Linked DNA regions of Nothobranchius furzeri. The main gene of each other region encodes a partner of the protein of the gene in region 2 in a complex. Links are inferred from orthologs where the notes say so. Each region holds a gene or a part of one and is shown on either strand. Other genes may lie near its edges. The genes, in order: ddx46, sf3a3 and sf3a2.

The links.
Region 1: sf3a3 (region 2) and ddx46 share a complex: the UniProt entries of both Homo sapiens proteins name them as parts of the 17S U2 SnRNP complex. The link is inferred for Nothobranchius furzeri from reciprocal best matches to the Homo sapiens genes SF3A3 and DDX46.
Region 3: sf3a3 (region 2) and sf3a2 share a complex: the UniProt entries of both Homo sapiens proteins name them as parts of the SF3A subcomplex of the 17S U2 SnRNP complex. The link is inferred for Nothobranchius furzeri from reciprocal best matches to the Homo sapiens genes SF3A3 and SF3A2.

What each region holds. Positions count from the first base shown.
Region 1 is NC_091750.1:60,370,168-60,378,540, reverse strand, and holds the start of ddx46 (probable ATP-dependent RNA helicase DDX46), read right to left. Parts: upstream 4,228-8,373; 5' UTR 4,088-4,227; coding exon 4,071-4,087; intron 3,899-4,070; coding exon 3,734-3,898; intron 3,412-3,733; coding exon 3,295-3,411; intron 3,046-3,294; coding exon 2,958-3,045; intron 2,865-2,957; coding exon 2,696-2,864; intron 2,521-2,695; coding exon 2,273-2,520; intron 2,092-2,272; coding exon 1,981-2,091; intron 1,901-1,980; coding exon 1,735-1,900; intron 1,611-1,734; coding exon 1,490-1,610; intron 43-1,489; coding exon 1-42. Other genes in the region: guided entry of tail-anchored proteins factor CAMLG, read right to left, coding at 5,579-5,770, 5,960-6,025, 6,170-6,627. UniProt on the Homo sapiens protein: Component of the 17S U2 SnRNP complex of the spliceosome, a large ribonucleoprotein complex that removes introns from transcribed pre-mRNAs.
Region 2 is NC_091751.1:25,494,847-25,502,971, reverse strand, and holds the start of sf3a3 (splicing factor 3A subunit 3), read right to left. Parts: upstream 4,709-8,125; 5' UTR 4,583-4,708; coding exon 4,487-4,582; intron 4,406-4,486; coding exon 4,358-4,405; intron 2,377-4,357; coding exon 2,324-2,376; intron 780-2,323; coding exon 674-779; intron 590-673; coding exon 517-589; intron 1-516. UniProt on the Homo sapiens protein: Component of the 17S U2 SnRNP complex of the spliceosome, a large ribonucleoprotein complex that removes introns from transcribed pre-mRNAs.
Region 3 is NC_091751.1:56,888,897-56,897,247, reverse strand, and holds sf3a2 (splicing factor 3A subunit 2), read right to left. Parts: upstream 4,198-8,351; 5' UTR 4,109-4,197; intron 3,370-4,108; 5' UTR 3,347-3,369; coding exon 3,149-3,346; intron 3,055-3,148; coding exon 3,008-3,054; intron 2,887-3,007; coding exon 2,777-2,886; intron 2,688-2,776; coding exon 2,638-2,687; intron 2,327-2,637; coding exon 2,186-2,326; intron 2,109-2,185; coding exon 2,040-2,108; intron 1,962-2,039; coding exon 1,710-1,961; 3' UTR 1,483-1,709; downstream 1-1,482. Other genes in the region: plekhj1 (pleckstrin homology domain-containing family J member 1), read left to right, coding at 6,555-6,648, 6,850-6,917, 6,992-7,058, 7,146-7,236, 7,860-7,923. UniProt on the Homo sapiens protein: Component of the 17S U2 SnRNP complex of the spliceosome, a large ribonucleoprotein complex that removes introns from transcribed pre-mRNAs.

The DNA.
Region 1 (8,373 bases), on a different chromosome or scaffold from region 2:
ATGGCCTGAGCCTGGATGGGTGTGGGCTTCTCGTAGCTGTGCCTGGGGGAACAACAGAAAACATCCTGTGATGTTTACATCAGTTAAAACACTGCATCCTAAAATATTACTGATTAACCCCCAGAGACCCACGGTTGTAATATTACAACATCAGATTTAAGTCTACAAAAATAAACCTTCCCCATTTTTTTTTCTTTTTAAAACCACATTTACATTGCTAATAGGTCCTATTGTTCAGTTCTGCAACACTATTGGCCGTTAAAATGTGTAAATAGGCCCGTTTATTTGGCCTCCTAGAACAACATGTGAAAGGTTAAAAAAAGATTTTGCAGTTGTTTTCTAAATTTGGGTTTCTGGGGGTTAAAGCTGTCATCCACAAATTTTTTTCAATACATTTGCAGCGGTCTCTAGTATAAATAAATGCCTGGGTGAAAAACGGCAGGATTTGCAGTCTAGCTCATTCGCGGTTTTTGGACATCTCACCTCTGATTGGCTTACAGCAACGTGACTCTGGCACTGAACCTGTTTGATTTGCAATGTTGATGTTTTATCTGCACAAATAACTCAAGCCTGAAGGAATTCTGCCATGTTGTGGCGTTGCTAATGCTAACAGTTAGCTTCTACTAGCTGAGTCACGCTCTGCTCTCTGCTGGTGTCAAAAACCAACAACAACCATCCCCGTTGCGTGGGAAGATGGTTGAGTCCAAGATTGCTAGTTTATAGTTTTACGAAGATCTGTGTGGCTTTTTTTAATCCATGCATTTCCTCATCTGTTTCCATTCTCCGGCTAAGGCTTGGTTTATGCGTGACGCATTCACTTTCCGCTTGGTGATGCGGCTCGCGGATGGAACGCGCTTCACAACTCGCAGTGTTTATGGTTCATGCGGCTCGTTTCTGCGGTGAGCCAATATTCTCCCAAACTGTAGGGGGCAGCATGGAGCTCTAGGCATGCATCCAACACTACACCATAGTAGAAGTAGAAATTACTGTTTACAACATGGCATTCCAGCATTTTTAACAGCGTCCTCGTCTTATCCGACAGTGCGAGCTATTTCTCTCCAAGAATTATTAACAACATGTTGATCACGGTGATCTTTGAGAGCTGAATCATACAAATGTCTGTATTTACGAACCTCTGCCATACTAGTTCTTGCCAGTCTGCCATGTTTTTCCGCGCCCGACCGTCTGCGTGGTTAGAAAATTTCCTCGGTGTGCGGTGCGGAAAGTTTAGGCCGTGCGGAGGCGCGGTGGAGGGGCGTGGTTGTTAAAATGACGCAATTTTGCCGCGTGGGAGCCGTCCGGACCTCGCGGACGCGTCAAGCATACACCAAGCTTCACGCAGGAAATAGGGATAGAAGACTATTTTCATGATGAACCTGCATATGAAACTCAGGGTGACTGATCGTATTTCAAAAATAAGTAAAACAAAACATTTTCTCAGAGAACCTGTTCTTTAAAACTAACAAAAGGTGAATGTTTGTGAACTCACTTCCTCATGGCGCTCAGAATCTTCATGGACACCCCACACTGCACCCAGGTCTTGATGGGTTTTGGACAACCCTTCCCTTTGACAGTAATTCCTTCCAGTTCCAACCTGTATGCGTTCACTTCTGTATAAAGTAAAACAAGCAAACGGAGAAAAGCCAGATTGTTTAGGTACAAACATGCATTAATAAAAAAAATACTGATTCTAAATTTTATGTGCAGTTCTGTGATAAAATCTGATTACCCGACCTTCTGGTGTAATTTTAGCCAGTTCAGGCACCTCCACATAGAAGTTTTTGCGGTACGGCTCATACTGGATCTTCCCGTGGTCAACGGGCTCCAGCACCTTTCTCTGTTTTGTCTGGAAGCCTGACAAAGCCGTATGAAGGTCCACTTCCTCTTCCTCTGAGGAGTACTGTTGATCACACATCAGCCATAATTTAGGTAAGTCAGCAGCGGAAAGCAAAGAAAGAAGTCGATGCCTTACAAACGCACCTCCATGGCATCCTGGTCATTTTCCATCAACTCCCCCTTCTTTTTGTGTGTGTGCGGTCCTTTTTTGGTTTTCACAACCGTCACCACTTTGGTTACCATCATGGCTCCTTTCTGCAGGTTAAAAATGATGCATATCAGCAAGAATCAGTGGACAAAACACAAAGAGGATAAAATGAAATCAAAAGGGGAGAAACTCTGACAACGAATACAGTCTGGTACGGGTTTTAGACACAAAGCAGTCAACATAGCAATTCCAACCATCTACTCTAAATAAACAAAGTGATGACATCACCTTGTCGTTTCCTTTCATGGCTCCTATGTTGAACTTCTTTACTTCCTGTTTGACCTCCTCCATGTAGGCATCCAGGGGATCCACTTCGTCTTCTTCAGCCTGCTGCTCCACAGGCTCATCTGTCTCCTTCTCACCCTCCTCTTTTTTTACCTCCATTGCATCCTTCTCTTTACCCTCTGCCTTTGCATCCCCTTCTTCATCATCGTCATCATCTACCTCCATCAAAGCTGAACCATCATCATCATCATCTGAAATGAAGAGTTAGAGCATTTGCGTTTTAACAGATCAGGTAAAAGTTCATAACTGCATTTATTTTTGAAAGTTGCTTACAACTTATAGAACTTATTTCCTATAATAAATTTAGCAGATTTTTTAAACATGGCATCATTTTCCTATGCGAAACATCCCAGGTTGCTTCCTCACCATCATCATCCTCAAGACTCCACTTCTTGCCCTGCTTCATTTCTTCCAGTTCTTTCTTGATCTCTCCAATGTTTTCAATAGCCTTCTTCCTCTGCTCTTCCCTCCACTTCTCCACTCGCTCCTTCCTCTTCCTCATTTCCTCCTCCAGCTTGTTCTGGTCAAAGTCTTGCTGTTGAGACACAAACATCATCAGCCCACCGTTTCAGCGCAAAGACATTTCAAAGCTCCTGACATCAGGAAAAAACAAATCAGTAGAACTTACATCTTCAACTTTTTCATCTTCTTTCTCCTCTTTGATCTTTTTCTTGTCGGACACAGGGTCAAGGTTGTCTTTCTCTTTGCTTTTTGACCTTTAAAATAAGAAAATCAGCTTCAACAGCTTGAAAATGAAAGTTTTTCTCTAAATTTTTGGAAAATCAACAAGAATTTGGACACGTTTCCATAAACAATATAAAGAACAGTTAAGATGGGATAATTTACACAATGTACATTTGTGTTAGCTGTTCATGACTTTAATAGTTTTTATTTGCACATGTCATCTCAAACAGACTTGTTTACTTAATGACCAAGTGTTTGTATTTATTTGTATAAAAACTCACTTCTCATCAATTTTCTTGCTCTTCGCTGGGCTACCAGACCGGGACCTGCGGGTTCGGCTTCGGGACCTCTTTCTGTCACGGCTTCTGGTCCTCCTCCTGTCTCTGCTCCTGGAACGCCTGAACACCAAAGAATCAAATGTGCAAACAATTAAAACAGAAAAATGGCAAAACCCTAACCACGTGATGACTTCATGAACATAGTCATTGATTTATTTTCTTTAAAGTGATTTAAATTCATTTTATCAGTAGGCTTAAATAGAACAAATATATCATATCAAACTCATTAGAAGCACAAAGATCTCCTGACTTTGTTAGCCTATAAGTAAAGTAAGTGGTATTTTTATGTTCACATAAACAGTTATTTAGAAATGTGTTTTTATTTGTGTCTCAGCCTTATTTTTCTATCTTAGCTGACATCATACAGCTAACCAGCACACACCTGGCTCTTTTTCTGTCTCTGGATCGTGATCTTCGGCGGTCTCGGCTACGTGATCTGTCTCTCCTGTTTCGGTCTCGGTCGTCTTTCTTGGAGCGTTTCTCCGGGGACCGACTCTTCGATCGGGTTCCCGACCGTCCACGAGACGCCGAACGTTTCCTGTAATGTCTGTAGATCAATAAAATTAAACAAATGCTGTTTTTCAAGTGAAAATTACACCACATCTGCACGAAAACATCCAAAAAGATCCGCTTTAGCTGGTATGCTAATGCTAGCCATTCAAAAACAAAACAGTCAGTAAGAGATTTGAGTCGAAATTAAACCGAAAACTTGGACATACCTCGATTCTCGTCCCATTTCGAGTCTGCAAGATTTGGTTTGGTAAAAAGTCCGATTATTTAAGAGATAGACACAAGCACGGAGAGACAAACTTGTTGGGTTTGTGTCATTGAACCTGCGTGTGTAAAATCTGCGAGTCAGATATGAACCTATTAAAAGAAGAGCGCCCCCACGCGGTAGGAGGTCAGAGAATTATCTAAAAAAACTGGATCAAAAGCTTAGAATTTGGTTTTGAATTCCATGGAGCTACAGTAAAACTAGTAATTATTAATAATAACAATAATGTCACACGAAGTGTTTTATTTGGTATTACAGTTTACATCACACCAAAAATACTTAAAATATAAGAGCCAGTAAAAACTGTTTCACGAAATTTATCAAAACTTATCAAATAAATTACACAAGTAGTGGGATAAAACATAGTTATGTTTTACACTAAAACTGTTTCAATAAAATTAAAAGACAAAGCAAATACATGACTGCAAAGAGGCAAAACTGTACCAAAGATTTTATGAAAGAGGCTTAAACAGGGAAAAGCAGGACACGTCACCAGGATTACGCAACACAAATAAGCCCACAAACATCAGCCGCCTCACACTATACCTTACAAATACGAACCAGTAATATTCTCATCATGTATGAAGTTCACTGCGATTTTTAAGCTACTTCAAATACAATTTCACACAAACCTGGACTAAATGCTTTTTTTTTAATTTAAACAATGAAACTTGTTAATAGCAAAGATGGACCCTTTCTGAATGCTGAACAGAGTGAAGCAGAAAAGTGGAGTCAAAGCCCTTTACAGACACAAATGACTTACATGACTCAAGTTAAACAGAGTTCATATCAACGCAACAATCCACAGTTTTCAAATCCATGTTCAAGGCTTCCAAGTTCCTTCGTCACTATGACTTTTAACGGATAAGAAAAATGACAAAAATAAAAAATTTTGTAAGTTTACATGATACATGACAGCAAAACATGTTTCCATATCTCCTTTAAGGTCAAATGAGATTTTAGATGTACTTTTGCTGCTCAGATGAGATGTTATATCAACTTTTTGAGATTGATCAACGTAATCACAGAACTAAAAGAAACAACTTAAAATATTACTCTGAAATCTAGTTAAACAAGATTTATTCATCTGCATCTCTCCATAAAGTATGTGATGTCATCACATTATTGTTCAAAAAGGGTGCCAAGCCTTGTTTTAAATGGATATCAGCAGAGAAAAAAAATGCATTTTTGTTAAATTTTCACCAAATTTGATTATCCAGAGTGAAACAACTCAGATCTTCAAGCACATTATCTTATTACAGAGCTTAAAACACTGATAGAGTCAAAAGTACTCAGTAAGAGAAGAGCTGAAACTACAAACACCCATCCAGGTGGTGTGCAGCCTTCTTCATAAGGCAGCAGATTAGTAAATGACAGGAAACAAGCACCAGAGGGAGCTGAAGAGCATGCCTTGTTGGGGTAGGGAGAGAGGGGCAAGTGAGGGGTCTACTATCAGGGAGCCTCTGAGGCAATGAGCAACACGATTTCATGAGAGATGATGAATGTGAAGAAGTAGACGCAGAGGTCAGAGAAGACGTCCCCCATCCTCCTGTAGGTGTCCATGGAGCGACTGATGACCTCAGCGGGGATGCCAGACAGTAGCAGGGCAGCAGTTAGCACAGTGGTTTGGGTTTTCTTCTCTACCTGCACAAAAAAAGAAGACACACACACAAAAAAAAAAAAAAATCACTGTAAAAATCATAACTTGGTGGTTCAACAAACTCATTTCTATCCAAATTTTCAAAATACCTTTAACTTTTATTTAATTTACAGTAAACCTACAATAATGAACATTACATACTTAAAAAAATACAAGATCCTAAACAGTCTCACCTTTGGAAAGTATTTGGACAATCCCATGTAGGCCAGTTCAAGGGTCAGAAATGGAGCAAATATTGACTAAAATGACAAAAAACACAAACCAGAGCAGGAGAATAACATTTTACTATATTAGGAAAAAGTGTAAAATTTTACACATTTTTAATCATCGTGTGATATAAATTGAATAACAATGCACAGAAATTGGTTTAAAGGTAGACCCACCAGATACTTGCAGACAAACACCCTGACAAACACAGCGAGGAGGACGCTGCCAATAAGTCTAAAGATTCTGAACGGATCCAGCTCCTCCGAGTCAGAACCTCCATCTTGAGCCTGCTTATCGTTGGCCAGCTGACTCCGGAGTTTCATAGCATCGTCAAAGCGTGATAAATACTGTTGGAGGCTCCGACGTGGGGAGCCACTGAGATCATCTCCTCGCTCCAGCTTTGCTCGCTGCCTGAGACCTCCCATTTCGTCTTCCAGAGATGCTCCGGGCAACTCGCTGCTGTCTGGCAGGGGTGAGCCTCGTCTCTCTGGGGTGGAAGAGTGGGAGCGGCTGCCATGAATCGAAGCCTCTGGCAGGAAGGGAGGCGGTCTCGGGGAAGGGGAGGACGAAGACCACGGCTGTGTCCTGTCCAGATCAAGGTGAAAGCGGGGTTCTGTGGGTCGTCGGGAGGATCCTGCAGAGAAGATCAGCGTTTATGAACTAGAAATGAATCAAGCACACAGATAAATGGATACAAATAATGTTATTGTTGTTTACAGATTTGGTTCTAACTTAATTCTCACAAATCCCTCTGAGTGGGATCAGACTTTCTAAACAGGTCCTGTGTCACTTCCATGATGAAACATTTGTTGGCATCACATTCAGAGTGATGTCAGAGCTCATAAAACATCAAGAACAGCCCAAGAAAATGCTTCCTGGCAGTTTGCATTTAGACGTTGTGTCTGATTAAAGATGACAGGAAGGCACAGCATCAACATCTGTGCTGCTGACGCCTATGCTGTTACTGTTGCAACACTTACAAATCAATTGGTGATGTCTGGACACATGTCACTAATAAACGTTATGGACTCAACATACGCACAAAATCTAATTTAAGAAACTGACTTATAAGAAGAATGTATGACCAGGGTCAAACATTTACCACTAAAAAGGCAAAAGATGCAACACCTGATCATTTATAAATCATTGCTGAGGTGTTAATTCAGCCCAATCAATCATATAATGATCAGTTATTTACAGTGCTTTGAAAAATGATTCCCTTACAGATTTAGTATGTTTATACATTTATTTTTCTTCAAAAATTTCAATTTCAGTTTTGGAGCAAAGATATCCTGAATAAATACAAAATAGTTAAATAGTAATGATTACGGTTTCATCTTAAGTGAAAAGGGATACGCATACGCAAACCTAAATGGCTGCTGTTGGCAGAAAGCATTTGCCATAATGATAAATGATAAATGATCCGCACTTGTATAGCGCCTCTCAGAGTAAGGACTCCAAAGCGCTTTACACTACAGTGTATCATTCATCCATTCACACACACTTTCACACAGTGATGGTGATGAGCTACGATGTAGCCACAGCTGCCCTGGGGCTCACTGACAGAGGCGAGGCTGCCGAGCACAGGCGCCACCGGTCCCTCCGACCAATAATCATAACTGCTAATGAGTATCTCACATCACTGTGAAAAGGATTTTATCCCACTATTGATTGCAGAATTGATTTAATTATGCCACATTGGAGGGTTTTACTGCATGAATGGATTGAGATTACAGGTCAGAGCAGAATTCATAGTTCATTTTATTACTGCAAGTTATCCAGATCCTTGGAACCACCCAACAAATGCTATTTTTTTTACTGTGTTTTTATATATTTTACTTTGTCTATGACTTTTTCTAATGGTGCTTATTGCTCTGTTTTTACCTTTGCATCGCACTTTACCTTTTTTATTGCCTCATTCCTGTGCAGCCCTTTGGTCAGCTGTCGTTATTTTTTTGAAAATCGTATGCATATTTTTGCCCCATCTCTTTCTAAAAGTTGAATCATTGCCACTGACCTTTACCTGTGGTGCCTTTGATGTTGGTCTGGATTATTTTGTCCTTGAATTGTGTTAGAAGACGGCTTGATGTACTGAATTTTTCAGGGTTTGCATCGTACTTGATTTGTTTTCTAGATAAATAAGGCCTGTGTTGGATTATTCAAGCTGTGTGTGTGTGTGTGTGTGTGTGTGTGTGTGTGTGTAAACATATTCGTGATTTACTAATGGGGACAATAACGTTGTCTTCTATTGTATTAAAGGATCATTTGAAAACTGTTAAACACAAGAATAAGATGATGGGTCAGAATGATCAGCCAGACATGTGCGGAGTGTGATGATGAATTTGTGTCTTAATAGAATTAACTAATTCACCAGTCAGGG
Region 2 (8,125 bases):
TCAGGATGCCTCCTTGACGCCTCCCTCGGGAGGTGTTTGGGCATGTCCTGCCGGCAGGAGGCCCCTGGGTTGACCCAGGACTACCTGGAGGAAATACATCTCTAGGTTGGCCAGAGAATGCCTGGGTGTCCCAGCTGAAGAGCTGGCGGACGTGGCCAGAGAGAGGACTGCCTGGGGGGCCCTACTTGGGATGCTGCCCCAGCAACCCTGACCCCGGATAAGCGGAGGAAGGTGAGGTGTGAGGTGAGGCTCACTCCTGTGAATCTAGGAGGGGCTTGGAGTAGAGCTGTAACTGCTCCAGTCATCAGCCATGTGTGTGTGTGTTTCCTATGCGAATTTAGTGGATTGTTTCAGGCATAATTCCTAAAACCAAACACTGAAAGAAACAAATGGACAGGTCAGGAGTGCTTAGAGAGACCCACATGGCAGCACCACCTTGAAATCTAGCTCAGGGGAATTGTGACACCCACTCTTATCCATTAAACATGGATGAATGGCAAACCTCGTCGAACTTACTCTGAGCCTCCTCGCTGAGATTTTCTTTGGCCTTCATCAACTCTTCAAATTCTGCAGACATGGGGATGGAAATCTACAGAAAATATGAGACAAACAGCAGTGAGACTGCTTCAGGTACACTATACAATCTAATCTGACTGCTCACGATGTCTCTTACTTCATTTGGGTGCTTTCGGTGGAACTCCTTTATCTGCTTTAGTCTGTTGTAGAACTCTGCAAACTCATTTGGTCCAGAGATGGCACCAAGCTCGTCCTTTCTCATGCTGGATGGGAGCAATTTCCATTTTTTATTCAGGTGTTTTCAACACTTAAACACAAGTAAACATAAAACACCAATCCAACGCCTCGCCTTTATCAGATCTGATATGGAAAAAAGAAGGAAATGTTGTATGGAAGAAATACAATCTCATCAGAATGACTTTTTTTAGACATAGAATTTATGAAAAAGAATTTTTATTATGTGTTATTTGAATTTTTTAAAATTTAAAATACATCAGCAAAGATTTCATCCATAAAAATTCAACAACTGAGGTGACCTCTTGGTAAACCAAGCCAAAGCGACCATCGATTAATAGATTCAAGAGGCTTTTAGCCAAGCATATTAGACTTCTCTGATCATGTGACACCAGTTAGATGTCGACTCAATGGAGTGATGTTTACTTTGGCTTGGTTACGTCAGTTGATGTTGAATTTTTGCTGTTGAAATCCTGTTGTTGAATTTTTGAAGATGAAATTCTGCAATTGATGTTTAACAGATTAAAATTTTGCTGGTGTAATTTAAGTAAACAAGTAAATAAATTCAAGTACACGATTTCACAGAATTAAAATTCTAATTAAATGAACGTCTAAAAAATTCAAATTCTGGCAAGGCAGTGTTTCTTCCATAAAGCAGTAGCGAGTGCTCTTTGTATACGCAAAACGATGGTTCGCTGGGCTTTATGCACTCGCCATAATAAAATCATAAATTAATATCACAGACTGACATATTCTCAATGTAACTTATGAATGAGTTTTAATGTTTCCCTTACATCAGAAATATCTCAGCATCATAAGGAAGTCGTTTAGATGGTATCATTAAATGATAGCATTTAAATGCCATCTTCCTCTTTGCCTCCATCTGACCACTTCTTTTGAATGTTTTTTTTCTTTTTATATTCACCACAGATCTCTCATCACTCTGACAGAATCCGCCGCCATACCAAACGCTGTACCACTCAAAGACAATAAAAAGATTTTCCATGCCCTACCTCACCCACAAGCACCTCGATTTCAAGCTCAGTGAAACAGGCGTTTTTCGCTGTTGCCATGGTTTCCACATGAAAATCCACAGGTTGGCTGGCTTATGTATATCCAGAATATTGATGAAGTGATTTGCACTGACCATAATGGTAGCAGTGGGTGTGCGGGAGGCGGGATGTGATCCAAAATCACCTGAACACATTTCTAGGTAGAGTTAGATAAAGCAGGAATTGTGTACAGCTATATGTACGCAGTGTTTTATGGGTCCAATTTTTTATTTCTGCAAGTAAATTTTTTTAGTAAAGGATCCAAACAAAGTTTTATAAATAGAGCCATTGGACTTTAATATTTAATATATTTAATAAAAGAAGTAGCAACAAAAGCCGTGGAATGGGATACCAACGCTTCTGATAGGCCAGAATAAAAATGTAATTATATATTTAGATTTTTTTTACTGTCAGGAAAACAAACCTGAGTAAACAATGGGTAACAGAAAGAGACAACAGCTTAACTCTAACAAGCAAAAAAAAAAAGTACATTGAATATATTTAAAAAAATTAAAACGTACCCATCTTTGTCTTCATAAGAGTCCCTGAGATTTGCACTCACTTCCATATACCTCTGTGAGGAGACACAGAACATGACAACAGATGACATTAAACTAGCCAACACTGACTCACTGTTAGATCATCATGGTAATAGACTTGGCTCTAAATTACCATGGTAACACATAGCTTGACAACACCTAGCTCTAGAATACTATTTAAAGTGAGGGTCAATGCCTGGTTGGAGACGCATTTCATCCACATTTCCTGTTAGAAAAACGCTTCTGAAAGAGGCGTCACCTGGCGAACCGGGAGAGCGGCACTGAGGCAGTGGTAGACCGCACCCCCCTCAACCCCTCCGCGTGTGCTGTCGGAGTTTCTCAATCTAAAAACGAGTTGTTAACTAGCGCAGGCACACTCGCGCGTGCATGCAAGCATGCACTCACACAAGACTTACCGCTCAGGAAAAAAAAAGCAGACACAGATTCTGCAGCATTCTGGAGGATTTCCTTTTAACCACGATCATTAGATGAAAAGGGGAGGAGGGCATTACGCACATAGGGGTTGGGGCGCTCCGAGCACCCCAACCCCTATGTGCATAATGCCCTCCGGATCTAAGACTTTGGGTTAAGCTGTGTGTGAGATCAGTTGACAAATTCTGCTTCTTAGAATCTCCAGGTAGAAATATCAGACTGATTCAGATGTCATCATAGTTCTGTTAGATCTGAGAAGATCTAAATAAACATCAGATTGTTAAATAAAGCACATTACCTTTAGAAGCAACCAGCACACTGCACTGAGCTGATCAAGTATTTTATTCAACCACGACATACGCTTTCATTCAGGATCATGTTTAAATGTGATTCTTAAAATTATTTAAAACATTTTAAAAATCAACCTATGGAGGTCTGATCCCACCAAAATTGACAATAACTGGTTATAAAATTGAAAGTACATATAGAAATACATGATGCAATTATTAGGTGGGCTATTAGTATGAGTGTCTGCCCTGGGACTGGGATATCGGGATTCAAATCCACGGTCGAGTCACACCTAAGATTCGAAAAACAGGAACCAATGCCTCCTTGCTTGGCACTAAGCTTTAAAGGGTTGGATCGGGGGTTAAACCACCAAATAGCTCCCGAGTGCTGCCGTGTCTCCAACAACCTTTGGAGGACTGCCGGGGGTGGGTCAAATGCAGAGAACAATGTCACACATCAGTGTGACAACTAGTGGGACTTTAACTTTAATTCACCTCATCACCATATACCACAGGAAGTGTGAGGAATATAAATGAAGAAATGTATTAAAAAAATAGATGTGGAAATTAATAATTGTATTCATTTAACTCCAAGTGTGTTATCTTCAATTGTATTTCCTCATTTATTGAATTACTTTTTTTTTTTGCCCTTTCTTAATTTAATGTAAGCGTTGGCAGGATCAATCCTCCCTCTGTACCACCTGTTGGGTTTTGTGTATGAAGTCTGGATGTGTCAGTAAAGCCCTCTGGTTTCACTGCATTTTAATGAGGAGAACTTCAGATTAAAAGAGCAGCAGTGATCAACCTGAGGTTTTGATTTACTTCTCTAAACGTTTGGATACTATTAGTGAAAATTCAGTGAAAGTCCCCTGCGATGGGCTGGCACTCTGTCCAGGGTGTACCCCGCCTGATTGCCCATTGACCGCTGGAGATGGGCACCAGTCCCCCCCCCCCCGCGACCCTACGTGGCCAAGCGGGTTCAGACGATGGATGGATGGATGGTGAAAATTCACCAAAGTTACACTAAAAGTGAATGACGACCAAGGCAGGAACCAAGCATTACAGGTAACTCAATAAAAATAAAAGCAACTTTACCCAACAACAAATAAGCTTTATTTTCTGATATAACTTCTATATTACATTTAACAAATCAGAACAACATCGATTGCAATGATTCATAAAATTCAGATCTTAAGCACAATGATTGTTATTGACTCTATTACTTAACACGACGGAAAAAACTACACCACCAAACAACATTTAGCTCACTGGTGGAAGAGCAGCATTTCATACTTACATCCAACATGGCTCTTATTCGATGATCACAATTAATTTGATCCCGCAGCTGAAACAAGAGTCGAAAACAAATACGTGAACATTGCGTTGGTGTTAGCAACATGCTAATGCTAAAAGCTGCGCTGCTTACCGTGGTCTTTTTGTGCAACATTTCTTTAGTTTTTGCGTCCATCAGCCTCTCTTTCTCTTCGTGGTAGCGACGCTGTTGTTCCAAAATCGACTCCATCGTTTACAAAATGCTCAAGAGTTTAATGAAGACTGTTCAGGGTTGCTGCTGAAGCGTTAGCACAGCGCAGTATGGTACGTTGACCAAAGGCGTCTGTTCAGGAGTTACTGTCCGCTTCAGTACGGCTAGGAAAACATTTCCCAATTATTAGTTCCGCTGTGGTCACACAAACGTCCATAACGGTGACAGTACGGGATTCCTACAAGTGGACAAATTAGCATATATTTTATTTTTATATTATTAGAATTTTATGAAAGTTTTAAAATTATTATTTGCTGTCCATCCAGACCGATCCAGACGTGAGAGTTTGTGAATAATTCGACTGCGGACGGTTTTATGGATCAAAATAGAAATTTTCGTTCACGTGAGCTGTTTGAGGTTATTTTATTGTGAGCTATTTCTAATCACATCTCATCAAAGCCTGCAAAATCAGGACACACACACTATCCCAGCGCACACGCGGTGGAGCGCACTTACCACAGACCGGAAGTGTTGGCGCTTATAACTTGTTTCTTAGGTGCAAATGATAAATCATTCTCAAATGTAATACAACAATTTACGATGCATTCCACTGTCAGAGCTGTGTATAGTAATGTGACAGGATGTGATAAAACTAAAGTAGAAATGATATCCAACATTTTTATGATTCTCAGAGGTCTGATCCCATGTCATATATATATATATATATATATATATATATATATATATATATATATATATATATATATATATATATATATATATATATATATATTCCTTTTTATCTTTATAATTACCGCCAGAGCTTTTATTTTGGCAGTCAACACCGGAAACTCCACAGTAACAGTCGCTGCCTTGACAGTGGCGTTCTGGCTTCGGTACGTTCTCCAGCAGCAGCAAGTCAAAGCACCGGGCAGCCAGTGTTTGGGTTTTGTGGACTACAGGGACTTTGGGAACCGTTTTCTCCGCCGCGGTGCGTCCAGCCTGTTCAGGAAGGTGAGCAGCCAGTTTTCCACGGTGACAACACTCGCTTGCTGTAATGGATTTGAGGCGCTGAGGCGTTATCTGCGGAAGGGGGGGGGCGGTCGTTGTCGTTGTGGAGACGAGGTGTGGGGGGGTGGGGGGTATCCATTCTGTCTTTGTGCTACTGGGGCAGACCTGGCAGAGGTCAGTGGCAGACCCGCTACCAGAGGGCTGCTCCTGGTTAGCTGCAGCATCTTCCGACATCTACATGCTTGATGCTAACTCTTCATTTATCCAACAAAACAGGCGGAGCGGACCGGGTCGGAACGAGCCCGTGGGCTCCCCCGAACTCTCCGAACATTTAAACCCACTTCTCCGAGGTGTTGAGGGTTTTTAAAAACATCAGAAAGTTTCCTCAGCCCGGAGTAGCTCACCACGCTACAATAGAGTTCTTTCACAAACCAGGAGCAGCAGACTGATGAAACATCACAGATTAGAACCGGAGATCCACATCAATGATTCCGAAACCTATTTTAACTTCTAACCAATAAACAACATGCTGACACCTGGATCAGACCATCAGTGGTTAAAGTCTGAACACATATTTGAAAGGACAATTAAGCAGCAGCAGCACACAGGCCAGCTGTTGTGTTTGGGTCTGTGAGGTGTGCTTCTGTCAGTCACATTTAAATGTAAGCTAGAGTCTGAAGTTCATCTCTGTCTCAAAGGCAGCTGCACTTATTTATTTATTCACTTCATGCAAACCACTAATCCAGAGCTGTGGCTCCCAAAGTTTGGGTTAGGACCTCTCTGTGCGACAAACACTTGGGTGTACTTGATTAAACATTACTCTAGTTTTTTCTATAATCATTACAAGAGCTAAAAACAGTTAGCAGAGAAATCTTGACAGGTGTTAGCCGAAGCTAAAATGATTTTGCTCTGCATGTCAATCCATTTCCCTCTGGGATTAATAAAGTATTTTTGAATTGAATTGAATGTAGGTCCAGCCACGCTCCACTGGAACCTCAGCAGGTTTTCCACTGGCCTGATCAGTGTTGTTTAATGCCAATTACAGCACTCTGTTGGTTTGGTGGCAGGATGTTGCGATGGAGTGGAACAACTAAGATGGCGACGACTTGTTTGGCATCAAGTTTTCCGCTGTTCCTGTCTGCCATTCCCCCACAGCAGACCACAGCATCAAAGGTAGCAGACACTACCACAGTGTCATAGAAGGTCCTTAAAGGAGTCCTGTACACCCCAAAAGATCTAAGCCACCCTAGCAAGACAACTTAGATTCTTTTTGTAGAGCGCATTTGGAGCTGAAAAGGCCAACATCCATTCATCCACTAATCCATCCATCCACCCACCCATCCTCCATTCACTCACTCATCCATCCATACATCCAACCATCCATCAATCCACCCATCCATTCAACCATCCATTTACTAATCCATCCTTCCATCCATCCTCCATTCACTCACTCATCCATCCATCCTCCATTCACTCACTCATCCATCCATCCATCCATTCACTCATCCATCATTCCACCCATCCATTCACTCATCCATCAATCCACCCATCCATTCAACCATCATCCACTCACTCATCCATCAATCCACCCATTCATTCAACCATCCTTCCATCCACTCATCCATCCACCCATCCATCCACTCATCCATCCACTCACTCACTCACTCACTCACTCACTCACTCACTCACTCACTCACTCACTCACTCACTCACTCATCCATCCTCCCATTCATCCATTCGTCCACTCACTCACTCACTCACTCACTCACTCACTCACTCACTCACTCACTCACTCACTCACTCACTCACTCACTCACTCACTCACTCACTCACTCACCCATCCATCCTCCCATTCGTCCACTGGCTCACTTGCCCGTCCATCCATATATATAAACATACATATTCTTACGCCTATCCGGGGTCGGGCCACAGGGACAGCAGCCTAAGCACAGAGGCCCAGACTTCCCTCTCTCCAGCCTCCGGGATCAGCTCCTCCAGGGGAATTCTAAGGTATTCCCAGGCCAGACTAGAAAAATAGTCTCTCCATCGTGTCCTCGCTGCTCGTAAACAAAAATGTTGAATCCTCAATAACTGTGGTGGGTGGGGACTCTACGGGGAATAGTGGTGGTGGGTCTATGCTAACACTCCATTGTGACATCACAATAGGGGCCTTTTTGAAACACCTCATTTTATACATTTAATCCCTAAAACCAAATGCTGACTGAAGACAGATGGATATTTTTTGTTCACCTTTAGAGCGTTTAGAGGCAGTAGAGAATACTTAAGTACAAAAACAGCTGAAAACTGAGCACAGCTGATGTTTGTGGTCGTTTAGCTAGCCAGCATAACAGATTCTATGTGGTCTCCATATAGGCAGCAGCCTCACTGGGAATCAAAGAGCTGCACCTGTGTTCACAGGTTTACCTAAAATTACTGTCATAAAGAAAATTATACTGGTGTCCAACACGTGGGAGATCTCATCCTCTGTCCAGTCCAAACCAGTTTTCTGTCTGACCTTTGATACAAGAGGTCATCTTTTTAAGAACACGTATCTAAAATAAACATGTTATT
Region 3 (8,351 bases), about 31 Mb from region 2:
ACAAACCAACTAAAACAGCATCAAAATGTTATGTGATGGCACGTTTTAAGCTTTGAAGGAATCTTAAAGCATGCTTTCCGTTATCATCAAGCTAACCGCGGCTAGCTTGACGTTAACTAGCCGCGGTTAGCTGAGGAGTTGCTAATGTTAGCGTCGTCAACGAAAGAGAGCGCTCACCTGTTTTCTCTGGCGGTTTACAGATCACAGTAAATCGTTTTTACTGCAAAAATACATGACTGAATCTCCGTTTCGTTAACTTACTCTTGTTCTTTCACGAACACCACCACTCTTTGGCTTCCAGGCTAGCCTTTGGGTGTATTTTATGTCCAACAGAATCCCTGCTCACAGCCGCAAATTCCGCTTCTTCCTTCCCCCGGTCCGCTGATGCCTGTCAGCTGACCCGCCGTCTTTACGAACGACTGTTCCGTTGTGACAGGAAAAGGCGTGGCTGGTGCGATGTGTAAACCGCACCCAGGCCTTGAAATGATAAGCCACGCAGGCTAATATTCGTTAATTGTCTGGTATTTTACAATTATATAGGTCAGCCTCCTTTACAAAAAATATATCAGAACATGTCAAAATATATTGACAAAATATGAGGTACGGACGCTGTCAGAATAAAAAAAAACGTAGTCAGGTTAAACTGTGCGCATATTGTTAAATAGATGTGCCTAACTAGAAACATAATTTCATCCCCCACTTGTGATTAAATGGGGCAAATGCTGTAAACGACTCTAGAGCGCCCCCCGTTGGTTACTCGTGTAAGGCAGAAAATCTACTGCAAACATGAGCTACAAAAATCGTGATTAACGATTCTTACAAATAGATTGTATGAAACATTATACAAATTCTGCTAAATACATAAACATAAATTCAGTTTGTCACATCTCCGAGGTGAAATGCCCAAACAAAGGCTCCAAACTGGGCCAGTGGCAGCGAAGGGTAAGGCGAACACTTTTGCAATGCCATGGAGCATCTTCGAAAGTCTTCTGCCAGAGAAAGCAATGCTGATGGATATCTTCAGAGGTCTTCATTGCAGCAGACTGGAGTGTCCACAGACACAGGACAAAGAAACTCTTGAATGATATTTGGCGTGGAGCACATCAAATTTTTTTGAGAATGTTCTCTAATCCATAGTTTGTGATTACCAACAGTCCTCAAAAGGTTTCCAATTGGGGTCATGGTCACCCCTGGAAACTTGGGTCACAAAAAAATAAAACATCTGTGTGTTCAGCAGAAGTTCATAAAATTAAAACATTTTATTTTAAAAAGATTTTATGAGTACATACACTGAATACATAGTCTGAATAATTGATACCAAAATGAAAACTGCTGTTAAAATATAATTCAAACTGATTTAGGCAGTGTTGAAGATCAATTTAAATACAGAAAAATCAATTTTGTTGATTTGTTTTATTTTAACCTGATCAGAGTAAACTTCAGATAATTCTCTGTATTTTTTGTAGAACAAACACTCAGGTATTTTCAGTATTTGTGTATTTTAATTAAAAAATGGACATAAGAAATAAAAATGTGTCCAGATATTAGTTTACAAGAGGACGATAATGTTTCCATAACATTTAGCTTTAGAATTTTATTTTTAGGCAAACAAAGTTATGAAAATCTACTGAAGATATCCAACATCCTAAAAATACAAAACAGGCAGAGCAGAACAACTGACCACCAATGCAATTTCTAACAGCAAATTATCACTGCATAAGGCCCTCTGGGGGAGGTGGCCTCATTGGCATGGGGGGCATGGGCATTTGTGGGGGCATTTGGGGGGGACCTGGTGCCCCGGGTGGCAGAGGAGGAACAGACATCCCTCCTGGTGGTGGAGGTGGAAGACCGTCGTTTGATGGGTGGCCACTCATAAGTGAAGCGGGGTGCTTTAAGTTGCCAGGAGGAGCTGGACCACCAGAAATGGCTTTCTCCATTTTAAAGTGGAACTGCAGGAAAAACTGAACGAAAACAAAACATTCATACATTAGAAAATTTTTTAAATTAGTTTTTTAGTAAAAACAAAGCAGAGTCAGTACCTGTTTAGTTTCCCTGTTCCAGTGAGTCCAGAAGCGGTTTTCTGCTTTATCAATTTCCCTGCTGGGGACCTTAAAGGAGCAAACATTTTAATGTTACGGAAATGTGACACATGAGCACAATGACAAAAATTACAGTTTTCATCCACCTTAAAGGAAATAGTTTCATATGGTTCAGCAGCAAACAGCAGGTACTGCCAGCGACGGTCAGGAGGCTCGATACGCTGCTCATAAGCAGACATGAAACGGTGCCTGGGTCCAATTCCTTCAGCAACCTCTGGATAGTCGATCTGATTAATATGGGAAATAAAAACAACTTGTCAGATGTTGTAACATCTGGTTATTATTGCCCTGATAGGAACTATAGGAGTTTGTTTTGTATCTGCAACGCATCTTCAAGTGGTGTCCACAATGGGGTCATACAATGGGAGCAAAACTGTTATATTGGGCTGGAAAATAATTAAAGTGGAGCTAAACATATGATGGCATTTAACTTTGGTTTCACACGAACAATAAAGCATAAAGCCTATTATCAAGTGTCTCAGATTCCCAGAAACACAGCAGGATTTTTCCAGAATTAAAATATATTTTTTATTTTCACCTGAAAAAGTAAAGACTGCTGACCAGTCTCTGGGTCCCTCTGTTTTGTCACTGTGAAAAAAAGAGAAAGACGAGGATCAAAAGTTGTTACAAAAAGCCAAATAATGTTGATCTAATATAGAACCATGCAGCCAGTGTACCTTTGTATCCTGGTCGACCGATTTTGACAAACTTCTTGACCTCAACTTTAACCTTTGCTGGAGCTGGTTGAGCCGGCGCTTCTTTTGCCTCTTTGGCTGCTCTTCGTGCTCTAAAACACCAAATAGAAAAGATTTAACTCAGAAAGAAAAAATTATACAGGAAAATGTTTACTGACAAATATTGAACTAGTAGCAATTAATTGTGTTAGAGAATGTTTTAGGTTGACTTACAAATTGGTCTGATGCTTCTTTCCCTGTGTGTGAGCCAAGTAGCTGCCCTAAAATCAAGTAGAGGGTTTTCTTTAGAAACACAATTCCCAAATATCAAAAATTCTAACATAGCCCAATCCAATCCGTTAAGTGCCTCCTCACCTCATTGTTGTGAAGTGTCAAACAAAGTTTGCATTCATAAGAACCTAAATGATTCTTCATAAAATAGGGGTCCTTGTTGATGTCGATGGTCTCTAGAGCCAGCTGACGTAACCGTTCACGCCTGTCCCGGTTACTCTCAGAGGCAGACGCCACCCCTCCACTTCCAGTCTTCCCTCCAGCTCGATGCTGGAAATCCATTTTTTTGAAGTGATGAACTCAGTCTAAAGACAACATAAACATATAGCATCAAAGGGACAGACCAAACATAATGTATCGTGTATTTCTTCAAATAAACACAAAACAAAAAACAGAAAAAGCCAGTTCAGTTAAAACTGAACCCCTGGTGTTTTATTTTTACCATCCCTATAAAACTGAGAAACATATGCTATTTCAAATGTAGAAAACATTCACAACTATAAGTACTGTACAAAGCAGTATGCACGTAGTAACACTATCATAAATATAAATTCAACAACTTTCATATAATTGCTGATAAAATGGTAACGCTATGTGTTACAGCAGCCAGAATGAATATCTGAGCGGCACAGTTCCTTAAATGTAGTATTAATAGTGAACATTAGTCAGGACTGTATATGTATGTATGCGTGTATGTGTTAAATCTATAACTCAAATCATAAAGACTTTCTTCCCGACACCCCTTTCATCAATTTATCAATTTGTCATGATTCTAGGTTGAAACGTCTTAATTTTTAATAACATAACTAGAAAATCCCTATATTGAACTATCCTTTCGCGCACATTTTACTGTTAGCATTTAGCATCGATGGACGTCGTTCTGACAATGCTAACAGTGCTACCATATATGCAAGGATAGTTTTAAACCTACCAAAATGAACAAACTATCAGAATGAAATTAAATATAGCCTAATCAATGTTTTAGCGTTACTGCTCAGCGAACTGCACAACAAAATACTAGCTAAATATTATAAATAAACTTACGTTCTCCCAAACAAATCTAACGACAAACTGTGATGGACAGAATTGTTTTGCGCATGCGTGTTGGTTCTCAGCTTAAGCAGTTCATAAATAGTTTCAAACATTCATTGCCATCTAGTGGTCAGGAGTAAAACTGACCGACGAACAAACGTTTGCGGATAAAAGCATATAATAAAGACCTAAGAGATTAGTTTATTTAGGAGTAAAGGGCTACATTTAAAATGTGAAAAATAAATTAAAAAAACGATATGAAACATTTGCATTTTTGTTTATTTATTTAATATGTTCTCTTTAATTTTGGATCAATTGTTTGTATTATTTCTTTTGCTATGGTTTTGTTTCCCAACTTTTATTGATTTTGTTGCTTTCACTTTTAGGGTCTGGATTTAAACTAATTGTAGATTTAGACAAGGTGTTGGACCGCATCTCTCGGGGGACCCTGTGGGGGTACTTTGGGAGTATGGGGTACCAGGCCCTCTGATAGGGGCTGTAAGGTCCCTATATGACTGGTGTCAGTGCTTGGTCCGCATTGCCAGCAGTAGGCCGGGTTCGTTTCCGGTGAGAGGTTGACTCTGCCAAGGCTGCCCTTTGTCACCAATTCTATTCATAACTTTTATGGAGAATTTCGAGGCACAGCCAAAGTGTTGAAGGCATTCATTTTGGTGGCCTAAGGATGGGGTCTCTGCTTTTTGCAGATGACATGGTCCTGATGGCTTCATCAGAACGTGATCTCCGTCTCTCACTGGAGCAGTTCACAAACGAATGTGAAGCAGCTGGGATGAGCATCAGCTCCTCTAAATCCGAGACTATGGTCCTGAGTCAGAAAAGGGTAGAATGCCTTCTCTGGGTCCAGGGATGAGATCCTGCCCCAAGTGGAGGAGTTTATACATCTCAGGGTCTTGTTCACGAGTGAGGGAAAGATGGCGAGTGAGATTTACAGGTGGGATGAGATCGTGTCTGCAGTAATGCGGACGTTGTACCGATCTGTCGTAGTGAAGAGAGAGCTGAGCCAGAAGGCGAAGCTCTCGATTTACCGGCCGATCTATGTTCCTACCCTCACCTTTAGTCATGAGCTTTGGGTAGTGACCAAAAGAACGAGATTGCAGATACAAGAAGCCAAAATTAGTTTTCTCTGCAGGGTTTCTGGGCTCTCACTTAGAGATAGGGTGAGAAGTTCAGTCATCCGGAGGGGCTCGGTGTAGAGGAGCCAGTTGAGGTGGCTCAGGCATCTGATTAGGATGCCTCCTAGATGCCTCCATGGTGAGGTTTTCTGAGCATGTCCAACCTGGAGGAGACCTAAAGAAGACCCAGGACATGTTGGAGGGACTATGTCACACGAATGGCAAGGGAACGCCTTGGGATTCCCCTGGAGGAGCTGGCCCAACCTGGGGAGGGCCTCTTAGCTTAGGCTGCTGCCCCCACAAGCTGACTCCATATAAGCAGAAGAAAACAGATGGATGCTTTTGCTTTGTCAATTTTGCTAAACCCATTTTTCACTACACTTAGCTCTCATGGAGCACGAGCTTTGAATTTGATGAGCTAGTATCAGCAGTTTAAACAGGCATAAAACCAACCAGTTCAACATTTGGTGTTATTCCAGTTATTTAATTTAACAAGGAATCTTTTCAATACTCTTTTCTCCCAATCATGGATTTTTAAATCAATGTGCTTCATTTTAAGTCTTGCAATATTATTTTGCGAATCAATTTTTATACTGCAACGTTTTGTCGTGGCATAGTAGTACTTTTCAGTTAAGAAAAAGAAGAACATAACCTGAACAGAGTGATGTTTGATTTTTTTCTAAAATGTAATAATTATTTTCATTTTAAAATACTTCAGGAAATATTTTGCTATATGTGCCACGGTTTAACAAAAGAAAATAGTAAGTCCTGTAAGAAAATAAAGTAATTTATAATTCAATGTTTATAAAACAATAGGAAAAACTAGAAAAATTATTTTGTAGTTGCAGGGCACGGGACAAAAACTACCTCAAGTAATGAGTAAATGTTTATTGTTCAGTCAGAAGCACTCAAACATATATTTAATGTATTTGAGGAACATAAAGTTTTAATATTAATCAGTGAACGTTTATAAAGTTATCTATCCAGACATCATGCAACTCCTCGCTCTTACGAGCCATTTAAGCGTTAGCCCACTAGGTGGCGAAAGCGTATTTCTATTTGGTTTAACAAGCACCGTTAAACTCTCCACTAGAAGAAGAACCGATCAGCGTTTCCTGTTTGTTTAGCAGATGCCGTTCACTTGACTTTACTTCACCCTGGAAATAACCAAACACTCTCCATCACGTTTTCAGGACATCGGATAAAGAATCAGAATAAGTCGACATGATAAACAACGAAACTACTGCATTTATATTATTATTTTAACTCTATTTGAAATGTTTTGGTCGTAGAGACTAGCAAAGGTGTCCCCCCTCCCATTTTACGCGATGCGTTTCAACGAGAGGGAGCTGGTCTCTCTGAGCCGCCAGCCTTCAGAGATGGCCGCTGAAATGGGAATGCGAGGTCCGAAGAAAGGAGACGGTAAGACCTGTTACTTTCTCCGTCACTTTTCACTTCCGCTTGGTGTTATTTTGGGTCATATCGGTGAAACTGATCATCTCTCTCTCTCTCTCTCTCTCTCTCTCTCTCTCTCTCTCTCTCTCTCTCTCTCTCTCTCTCTCTCTCTCTCTCTCTCTCTCTCTCTGTGTGTGTACGTGTACGCGCGTGCGTGTGTGTTTTCAGTTGTCAAGAGGCGGCTGGTGAAACTCGTAGTTAACTTCCTTTTTTACTTCCGGACAGATGAGGAGGAGGTTAGATGAGTTTTTTTTCTCTGTCCCTGATGATGAGCTGTAACATTTTAATGAGTTCAGTGTTTATTTTTCAGCCAATTGGAGCCTTGTTGTTGGAGCAGTGCCGGGTGGAGAAAGAGGACAGTCAGACCTTCTCTATTAGTGAGCCCCAGACTCCCTTTCTGTGTTGATTTCTTACAGGCTGATTGGCGGTGACATTTTGTTAATGTTGTGTTTGTCTCTCTGTAGCATTTCTAGATGAAACTGAGAAAAAATACGTGTTTGAGTGCAACTCCGAGGAGCAATGTAAGGAGTGGATAGACTCTATTATTAAAGCAAGGTAAAACAGACTTTTTAATTTTCCTTTTTGCTGTGATCTGCTGTTTAAAGAGCAAGTCACCCCCTACCAAAGTATTACTCCACTCCCACTTCCTGTTTGGTCAAATGCAACAAATGCTGTTGCCTAGCAGACTGAGAGGGCGGGGCCACTAACAAATCCACACACACACGCACACGCACACACACACAGGCTCACAACGACATTGTGACATCATATGGTACCAGCTAACGTTTTAAGGTACCTCTTAGCCAATAGGGATGGCAGATTTAAATTCAAATGCAGTGCTGAGTTTTTACCTGACAATGGCACAACACTGACAGTTTTAGGCAGAAAATTAAAATTTTAAATAAAGTGCTAAACTATTGACTACACGTGTCTGCAGCACAATTAAACGCACATTTAGTTTATCAGAAAAAATAAGTTGATTTGGGAGTGACTTGCTCTTTAAGATCAGTCCAGACTTATCTGACCTCAAGTGTACAGAGTAAAATACAGTTAGATGTTCACACTGTTGTTTTACACGTATTTTAAGTTAGGATCAACAGTCGTCTGTGAACTTATTATATAATATTGGTTCTTAAACCAAAAAAACTGTTTAATGTATCTTGTCTATACTCTTGCAGTTATGAGTTTATGAGGAGGAATCTTATATTCTTTCGAACTGAAATCCACCGCCTCACTGGGAAGGTGAGTCCAATAACAGTGAGTCTGGCTAAAATCAGACTGCACCTTTAATTATTGGTGTCATGATGTGAAAACATCCATAATTTCAATAACTCCAAAAATGTTTTTTACAGATTTATGCAATGAACTCAAATGTATTTTATTAAATTATGAATGTAAACAGTGGTGGCTGGTCCATAAGGAGTGCCGGCCTTCCTGCGTAATTCTAAAAAGTAAATAAGACTACAATATATATAAATATTCACATATTTACTATTAATGTGTCAGATTTTCTTAATTGTGTGTGCCCACATGCAATTTGAATGATTCATAATTTTCATCAGCTGTCTCTCATTAAACAATGAATTTCCTCCATCAGGCCCACCATTTTCACTCCTCCAGTGCTCCTAAACTGCAACTAGACAGCCAATCATGTTTGGTTGCTAGAGAGA